2 linked regions of the Bombyx mori genome follow. The protein of the gene in region 2 interacts with the protein of the main gene of each other region in a pairwise test. Links are inferred from orthologs where the notes say so. Each region holds a gene or a part of one and is shown on either strand. Other genes may lie near its edges.

Region 1 (4,035 bases), on a different chromosome or scaffold from region 2:
GTGAAGCTATAGCTTTAAATATTGTTTCTCTTTATATAGAGCAAAAAACTCAGTTTGTGCTATAGTTTTACTAGCCTACAATTTATTTTGATGTGAATAAAATAGTACATTACATAGATTTGTGCAGCAAAACAACACCCGTTCATGTAGATGGGGTACAGAATTATTCCATGATTTCCTTTTCTAGTTGAGAAGGACATTGCTATGGCTGCTCCAGGCTAACTCTGTACTTTATCTACTGAGTAGCTTTAGCCCGCGACTCCGTCCGCGTGGAATAGTTACTTTGGCACAACGCTAAATTTTACATCTACTTCATTTACATAGAAAGTGAAAATATTTTTGAATTATAGAATGTTAAGGAGCTATGTAAACCCCTATTTTGAAACATTCTTTATTGGTGCTCCACTTGTCTTAGAGAGATGTTATATAGCCGTCTTCCTCAATAAATGGGTTATCTTTAACACAAATAATTTTTCAAATCGGACCAATTAATATTTCCTGAGATTAGCGTGTTCAAACAAACAAACTTCAGATTTGTAATATTATGAAGTATAGATAAATACAAGAATTCCAGCAAATACTAAATTTCAATTTCTGATGAACCTTAAGCATATTTTTTATTAAAATTCCATTATACGATGCTCCTACCATAAATTAATTATTTAAATTGTTTATCTAAATTTATTGTCCTGATATTATTGACAGTTCAATATCATGGGTATCTATCTTGCTTGTGCTTCTTTCTGGAATCTTTTTCTTTTTAACTTAAGATTATATTTAGGGGAAAAAGCGGGAAAAAAAGAAACTTTGTTACAAATAAAATAAAATTTTATTCATGTTTATTATGTTTTAACTTTTACAAAAGATTTATTACGAAATTGGTATAAAGATATAATAAATACATTTTTCGTTACATTAAACTATCTTATGAAACAATGAAAAAAACACTTTTACATTTTAAGACAGTAGCAGTTTAGCACCTACATTTTACAAATTGCTCTCTATCAATTTTTAAATTATTTTAATTCAAAACAAACCCCAAAACATTCTCAAGCAGACTTAATGCAACTACCAAACAACAGATGGCGTTGTGCCTAAGCCAAAATGGCGACCTACTTGAAAAATAATATCGCAAAATTTTCTTTTCACAATAATATCCTCATGTTTAATTCACTTCTCGGGCAACTTGATGACGGGCATTTGTGAATAGCCCCAGTCTGATTCGCAGTGGTCGATCAACTGTCTCTCGGCTTCAGATAATGTTGATAAATCTATTTCTTGACTGTCTGTGAATGGATCTGTATACGGATAGTGTACCAGCACGCAACTGAAGTCCATGGGAGAGCAGTAACCAAGCATTCTCCTCAGCTTAGTCTCACAATCGACCTGTGTACAAAGAAACGAATTTGTTAGCTTTTTTATTTTGATTCCTTTTAACTTAATTCCTTGAATCGTTATAAATTCGATTAATAGGTTCTTGTTAGAGAGTCGGAAATTTTAATGACTTTTTTTACTTCGTGGAAACTAAATTGTCATATAAAATTAATAATAACTATGTATAATTCATTTTATGAAGAAGGAAATAAAATGAAACTCACTTTAATAACATGAATATCATTTTCAACGCAAAATGCTTGCAGGAGGACATCTTGCATATGCGTTGCACTATCGCCAGGCGGGGCTTCGGCGGTCAGGCAAAACAATGCACCATTGCAGTTCTTCGATAAGTATTGAATGGCGGGAAGTAAGCCAATAGTTAACCTTTTTTCGACACAGGCTCGCCTTAACACTGTCTTGATACATTGTCCGATAGAGCTGTGGGAAAACAAATACATTAATAAATTATATGTTACCAAAAACTTTAGTCTCTTGCATGTCAAACGGAGATGCTAACCGCCATACTACAAACAAAATATTATTATCAAAAGCATAAGGTACGTCAATTTATAGTCTAATTGGCATGTTTGAAGTTATTAGAACTTTAAAGTTCTTTGATCTAGGTCAAGTGAAATTCTTGTGAAATATTCATTTTAGTTTATGCATATTGAATTTTTCCTGTTGTAGCTGTAAAGTATTAAGATATTTATTTACCTTTTAGCTGCTATGACACTGAAGGTCTCGGCTTTTACTGGAACAACTGCTTCCTTGTACATTTTGGATAGACGAATGCTTCTTAACTCTTGAATTTCACTAATTTCCAAACTCCGCAGTGAAATCCGAATGTGAATTTTCACAGAAAGCACTAACACTTTACATAAAATCCTTCTATTATGTAAACACACTTGAACTTCTCGCAGTAATTCGAACTTGTGACACAATAATTTCACAACTTTGCTAACGAAACTCGCGTTAGTACACTTTGGATGTTCAATGTAGAATGTGGAGAAGTGACGTAGCGTTCCCTTTTATTGGAAAGGCCGCGCATGCGCACGCTAGTATTTGTATGTGTGCGTATCCTCCGATCAGTTTCGTCGGAGTTTCTTCGAAAAACGCTTGTATTTTCGGTTGTGTGAGTCGTTTTAACTAGTGTAAGTCTGTAAGTGTATATACGAGATAATAATAATGATACGTGGCACGTGGTACGTGTGTGTGAGTGGTTTTTTCTGAAATGCGAACGCGTGGCTTGTCGCGACTTGTTTAAGGACCAATTTAGTTGGAGCTACCCCGTTCTTCTTTTTTGAAGTAAATGCGGCCAGAAAAGGGTAGGTACTATCAGAACGGTAGGTCAAGGTATTTTTTGTTATCGTTAAGCGCATTGGAGAATATCGGAATTCCCGCTACATTGGGTTTTTATTTCAACAGAGGAAATATGGTTCATTTGAAAACAAAAATTGGGTTTGATTCTGGTTTAGTTGTTTTTTTATTTGTAATGAAACATTCGTTTTCAATAGGTACAAGGACTTTAGTATATTTATTGTAGAGCCATGACGGCAAGATGAGAAAACTTCTAATGGGCATTTCTTCTAGTGTTACGACAGGATAGAATTTATTTGAAGTTATGGGCAGGTAGTGAAAATGTTTTTTTTTTTTTTAAGAGATTTTATGACCTGGTAACTAAGACCTTTAAGTCATGTCTTATTTTACTTTATATTCTTAATTTTATGAAAAATGATAATATGGAGTGAAATGAAATGAAGATGATTAATTTGAGACATTAATCAACTGGGATGAAATTTAATGAAATGAGATGATATGGGATGAAATATAATCGCAGTAAAATGGTGGTCATTTACTGAGATTTTTTCAGTGGACTTTTTGGAGGAACCCGAGAAGTTACGTCCAGCAGCTTTGTTTCATTTTCCCACATTGGTGCACTTTCACAGATATTAAACATTTAATAAACCACCGTTATTACACATTTAAACCTGAAGAAACACTAAATAGACAAAATAAAACAAATCACACAACTTCACTGCTCGCGTTCCCGCCAAAAAGTCCAGTGAAAATGTTACTACTATCCTTGTACCTACCTACCCAACTTCAGAAGTCGATGTATTTTAATAGTCTCCACCACAATTCCATTACCTGCATCAGAGCGAGGAGGAAGACATTCATATAAATACGTTAGTTTGAGTATATCATTAGCTACTTATTTTTTTACCTCAAACGTAAATTAAAAAAACCGTGTTTTTTTGAAGTTTTTACTTTCTATAGCACATGAGATGTTAGTGTCGAACGTGAGAGCGACTCTTTCTTATTTTTTTGCTTAGCAGGGTCAATGACCTCGTGGCCCACGTAGTGTTAAGTGGTTACCGGAGCCCATGGACATCAGCAACGTAAATGATTTCTAGTGTATCCAAAGCAGTCAAATTGTATGCAAAAGTGAGTTTGTTTTTCACGTCTGTTAGAAACAAACAAACTCGCATTATGGCGTCGTGTTACTCAACCCAATATCAAGAAACACGTTGTTAAGTGCACTAAAAAAGACATATTCATCATTTAACACCAGGTAACAATTACTATTCTCGATCAATGTAATTTTACTATACTAAAATCTATTATTTATGTGTATAATATTGACGTCAATATTACCAT
Region 2 (3,831 bases):
TCTGTTCTGCATCATGTCAAAATGGAAAATTAAAGTACTGTCATTAAGTAATAAACTTAAAATAGTGAATGCGTTTGAATCCGGAAATTCGCGAAATGAAATTCAGAGGGAGCATTAGCGAGAAACTCGGGTTAGTGAGAAACCTCTATAAGCGAGAATGAGATTGTGCTCCCTTGAACTCTCGCTTATCCAGGTTTGACTGTACAAAGTTGCAGACAGCAGTTAAATCGCTTGCTAGATGGCCAGTTTATCGTGAAGCAATGAAGCGGTCTTGCGTTTATGACACCCCAAAAATGGTTCATTTTTGTGCAGGAAGAGTTCTCCAAGTTGGCCGTACAAATCAACACAACGAAGAAACTTCTGGAAGAATTGAAACTTGAAGAAGGAGAACAAATTGACCCTAAGGCCGAGAAACTAAAGTAAATAGATTTATTTTTACAATAGAATCGCAATTCGGGTTTATCTGTCTGTTACTTATCAATAGACTCCTTGAATCAAGCCACGCTCCGCTGCGACCACGACTAAATGCATGAAATATTAAATAAAATCGTCTTACATTAATGTAACAATGGCAAGAACCTTCACCGAAGTTGCTAACAATTACAAAGTTTCTAGTCAAACAGATAAGCAATGTTCAAAACACACAAATATCAATTTTAATATTGCTAAATATGTAGATAGTACGACCGAAGAAGACGGATGGACTGTGTGAATGACGATATGAGAGAGAGAGGAGTGAGTGTTGAGATGACGGCTGATAGAAGAGAATGGAAGAGAAAAATTAGCTGTGCCGACCCCACCTAGTGGGATAAGGTGGAGAAAAAGAAGAAGATGTAGATAGTACGAGTTGGAATTGATTAGTTTCGTAATGCAGTTATCGATGTTTGCTTGGTGCATTTATGTACCTCAAGCACCGGTCACCGTTCTCGTCGAACCTGTCGCTTGTGACGAGGGGTTCGGCGAGCAAATTAACCCTCAGACACATCCCACTGTGTTTCTCGTCAGATCTTCTCAGTGAGTCGCGTTTCCCATTCTGCGAAGCGCTCTTGCTAGGGCTAATGGTAGCAAATTTGTCAGGTTAAAGTACGGTAAGCTCACCCACTCGCTTGATTAAGCTGGCATAACCTCTCAAAGTTACCAGCATAAGTTGGGAAAAAAGACGTTTCGAATATGATTTTATGCTGTTCCAAAAACAATAAATCATTCATTGTGAAAAAAAAACATTGCGGATTAAAGACTGTAGACAAATCCCTACTGTACTTACATTATGTCTTAATGTTAATACTTAGATCTCATTTCTCAAAGTTTATTATATAATAAAAAAAACATCATGGGTCAGTCAGTAAATAATGTTGCAAGCTTATTAAATAAATATGAAAAAATATATATACAGAGTGTCCCAGAAAGAATGGATAATCCTGAAACACCTCATAGTAGAGCTATTGGGGACACAAAATAAACAAAATTCTCAGGTAGTACCCTAATTACGTATTTAAAAAAAACTTGATATTGTCTATACTGCTGTGCGTTTCTGGAATATACAACAGCTACAAATAAATGAAATCCATAGGCTTTTTGGTGTTATAATATTCTACATAGACGGAATATGCAAGAAATCGTTGAGTAGCTAATGTAATTTTTTATAATAGTTAATCTGAACTTCAATTTTAATCATGAAATTTTGTTATTTTTTCTTTATTTTTAATTTGGGTATTAGGTACCTAACAAATATATTTTTATTATTTTTCATTTTGAGTCCCCAATAGCTCTGCTATGAGGTGTTTCAGGATTATCCATTCTTTCTGGGACACCCTGTATATATTGTATTTTTGTCAAAAGTGGAAAGGAATCGAACTGTAATTACAGGGAGTACCTGTCGTCGAACGGCAGGAAGAAGCAGGGTGAGCTGATCACGGCGCAGCTGAAGTTGAAGCCTGAAATAAGCCTCGCGCAGACCACAAGGGTTGCTCAACTCGAGCACAGGTAACGAAATAGCCAAACATTAAGTAGTTTCTATTGTGAATAACCAACAAATAATATTAGCAGATTAAAAAGTAGCCTATAGTAGAATTATTTTGTCCGTGCAGTTTGGGTCATAAAAAATCGGAGAGCGGTGAAGCGAGTATTTCGCTCTCTCTTCCACTCACGAGCCTTATGGACGGGCATAGTGATACGCATTATTGTCGATAAGCGCTATCGATAGTGTATTTAGTTTTGTCATTTTGTGGGTTAGTGATAAAAATGAAAGAAAAATCACTAATCGAACACTTACACCACATGCAAATTAACGAGAACGGCAGAAATTAACACTGTAACTTTTCGGGATCTATTCTCATTTCAGTGAAAAATTTTAACACATTGTTGATAACAACAAGAAGTCGTCGTGGCCTAAAGGATAAAACGCCCGGTGCATTCGTATGTAGCGATACACCGGTGTTCGAATCCCGCAGGCGGGTACCAATTTTTCTAATGAAATACGTACTCAACAAATGTTCACGATTGACTTCCACGGTGAAGGAATAACATCGTGTAATAAAAATCAAACCCGCAAGTGCAAGTGCAAATATTATTTTGAATAAACTCTAAGTACAAATGACTCGTAACATAACAATGTCTTACCACCCCGCCGCCGTGTACCTGCCTTCGATGACTCATTTGTTTTTATCGATAATGGCGTTACGCCCGCGCAACATGCTCACCGCCCTAGCCGGGCTATGTTTTATGACCCAAACTGCACGGACAAAATAATTCTACTACAGTTCAATAAATAACGATTTGATGAACATTTGCGCACTCCGGAGTACTTTTCTTACCGGTAATGTGTTGTGGAAGGTTCGTTGGCATGATGTATTTACTGTCACCGGCCCGTCATTGTATCCGGAACTCATAAGAATTTTTGACATGAACCCTTGAGACATGAGGTCGACGTCTCAATCATATTGTAAACCGGCTGTCCGACCTCACAAACCGACCGATAGGACCGCGGTGCTTGCCCGAGCAAGCTATATTGCCTTACTCTACTTATTACTACTAAATAACATTTTAATATAATTTTGTGAGTTACATTTTTTTTATTGCCTAGATGGTTGAACGAGCTCACAGCCCACCTGATGTTTAGTGGTTACCGGACCCATAGACATCTATAACGTAAATGCCGCCACCCACCTTGAGATATGACTTCAAAGGTCTTTTTTTTTTATTGATTAGATGGGTGGACGAGCTCACAGCCCACCTGGTGTTAAGTGGTTACGGGAGCCCATAGACATCCACAACGTAAATGCGCCACCCACCTTGAGATATTAGTTCAAAGGTCTCAGTATAATTACAACAGCTGCCCCGTTCTTCAAACCAAAACACGTTACTGCTTCACGGCAGAAATAGGCAGGGTGGTGGTACCTACTCGTGCGGACTCACGAGAGGTCCTACCACCAGTAAGAGTTAGCTTTTTCAATTTCACTTTTAATCTATAGATTACACAAATTAGAGCAGGCTGCCGGCGTGAGGGATGAGGAGGCGTTCCGACGACTCCAAGCTGCCACTGGACAGGTGAGCTGACACTTATCTGTAAAATGTAATTCGTGACAATGGAAACGATTCCCATTTAGTTTGGGTTCTGGCAATAAATGACAAACATTACGATCGAGCGTACATTTTTATTGTTATATATTCACGGTTAGATTTTAACATTATTCTAACAACTACGACGTAATGAATATGGCGGGTCAGTCAGAGTGTATTTCGTAGAGTGGTCATCAAAGGTTAACTTTATAAAAATCGACAAGGGTCGAATTTTTTTTTTTTTGGTTTGTGAACGAGCTTACGGCCCACCTG

What was found.
Region 1: the proteins of dynactin subunit 2 (region 2) and growth arrest and DNA damage-inducible protein GADD45 alpha interact in binary tests that used the Homo sapiens proteins (3 or more experiments, as listed by UniProt). The link is inferred for Bombyx mori from reciprocal best matches to the Homo sapiens genes DCTN2 and GADD45A.

The regions. Positions count from the first base shown.
Region 1 is NC_085134.1:418,169-422,203, forward strand, and holds growth arrest and DNA damage-inducible protein GADD45 alpha, read right to left. Parts: upstream 2,622-4,035; 5' UTR 2,154-2,621; coding exon 2,092-2,153; intron 1,935-2,091; coding exon of another isoform or gene 1,887-1,934; exon of another isoform or gene 1,872-1,886; intron 1,816-1,871; coding exon 1,599-1,815; intron 1,387-1,598; coding exon 1,171-1,386; 3' UTR 807-1,170; downstream 1-806. Other genes in the region: electron transfer flavoprotein beta subunit lysine methyltransferase, read left to right, coding at 1,887-1,934. UniProt on the Homo sapiens protein: In T-cells, functions as a regulator of p38 MAPKs by inhibiting p88 phosphorylation and activity.
Region 2 is NC_085114.1:13,901,315-13,905,145, forward strand, and holds part of dynactin subunit 2, read left to right. Parts: intron 1-312; coding exon 313-419; intron 420-1,866; coding exon 1,867-1,983; intron 1,984-3,470; coding exon 3,471-3,546; intron 3,547-3,831. UniProt on the Homo sapiens protein: Part of the dynactin complex that activates the molecular motor dynein for ultra-processive transport along microtubules. In the dynactin soulder domain, binds the ACTR1A filament and acts as a molecular ruler to determine the length.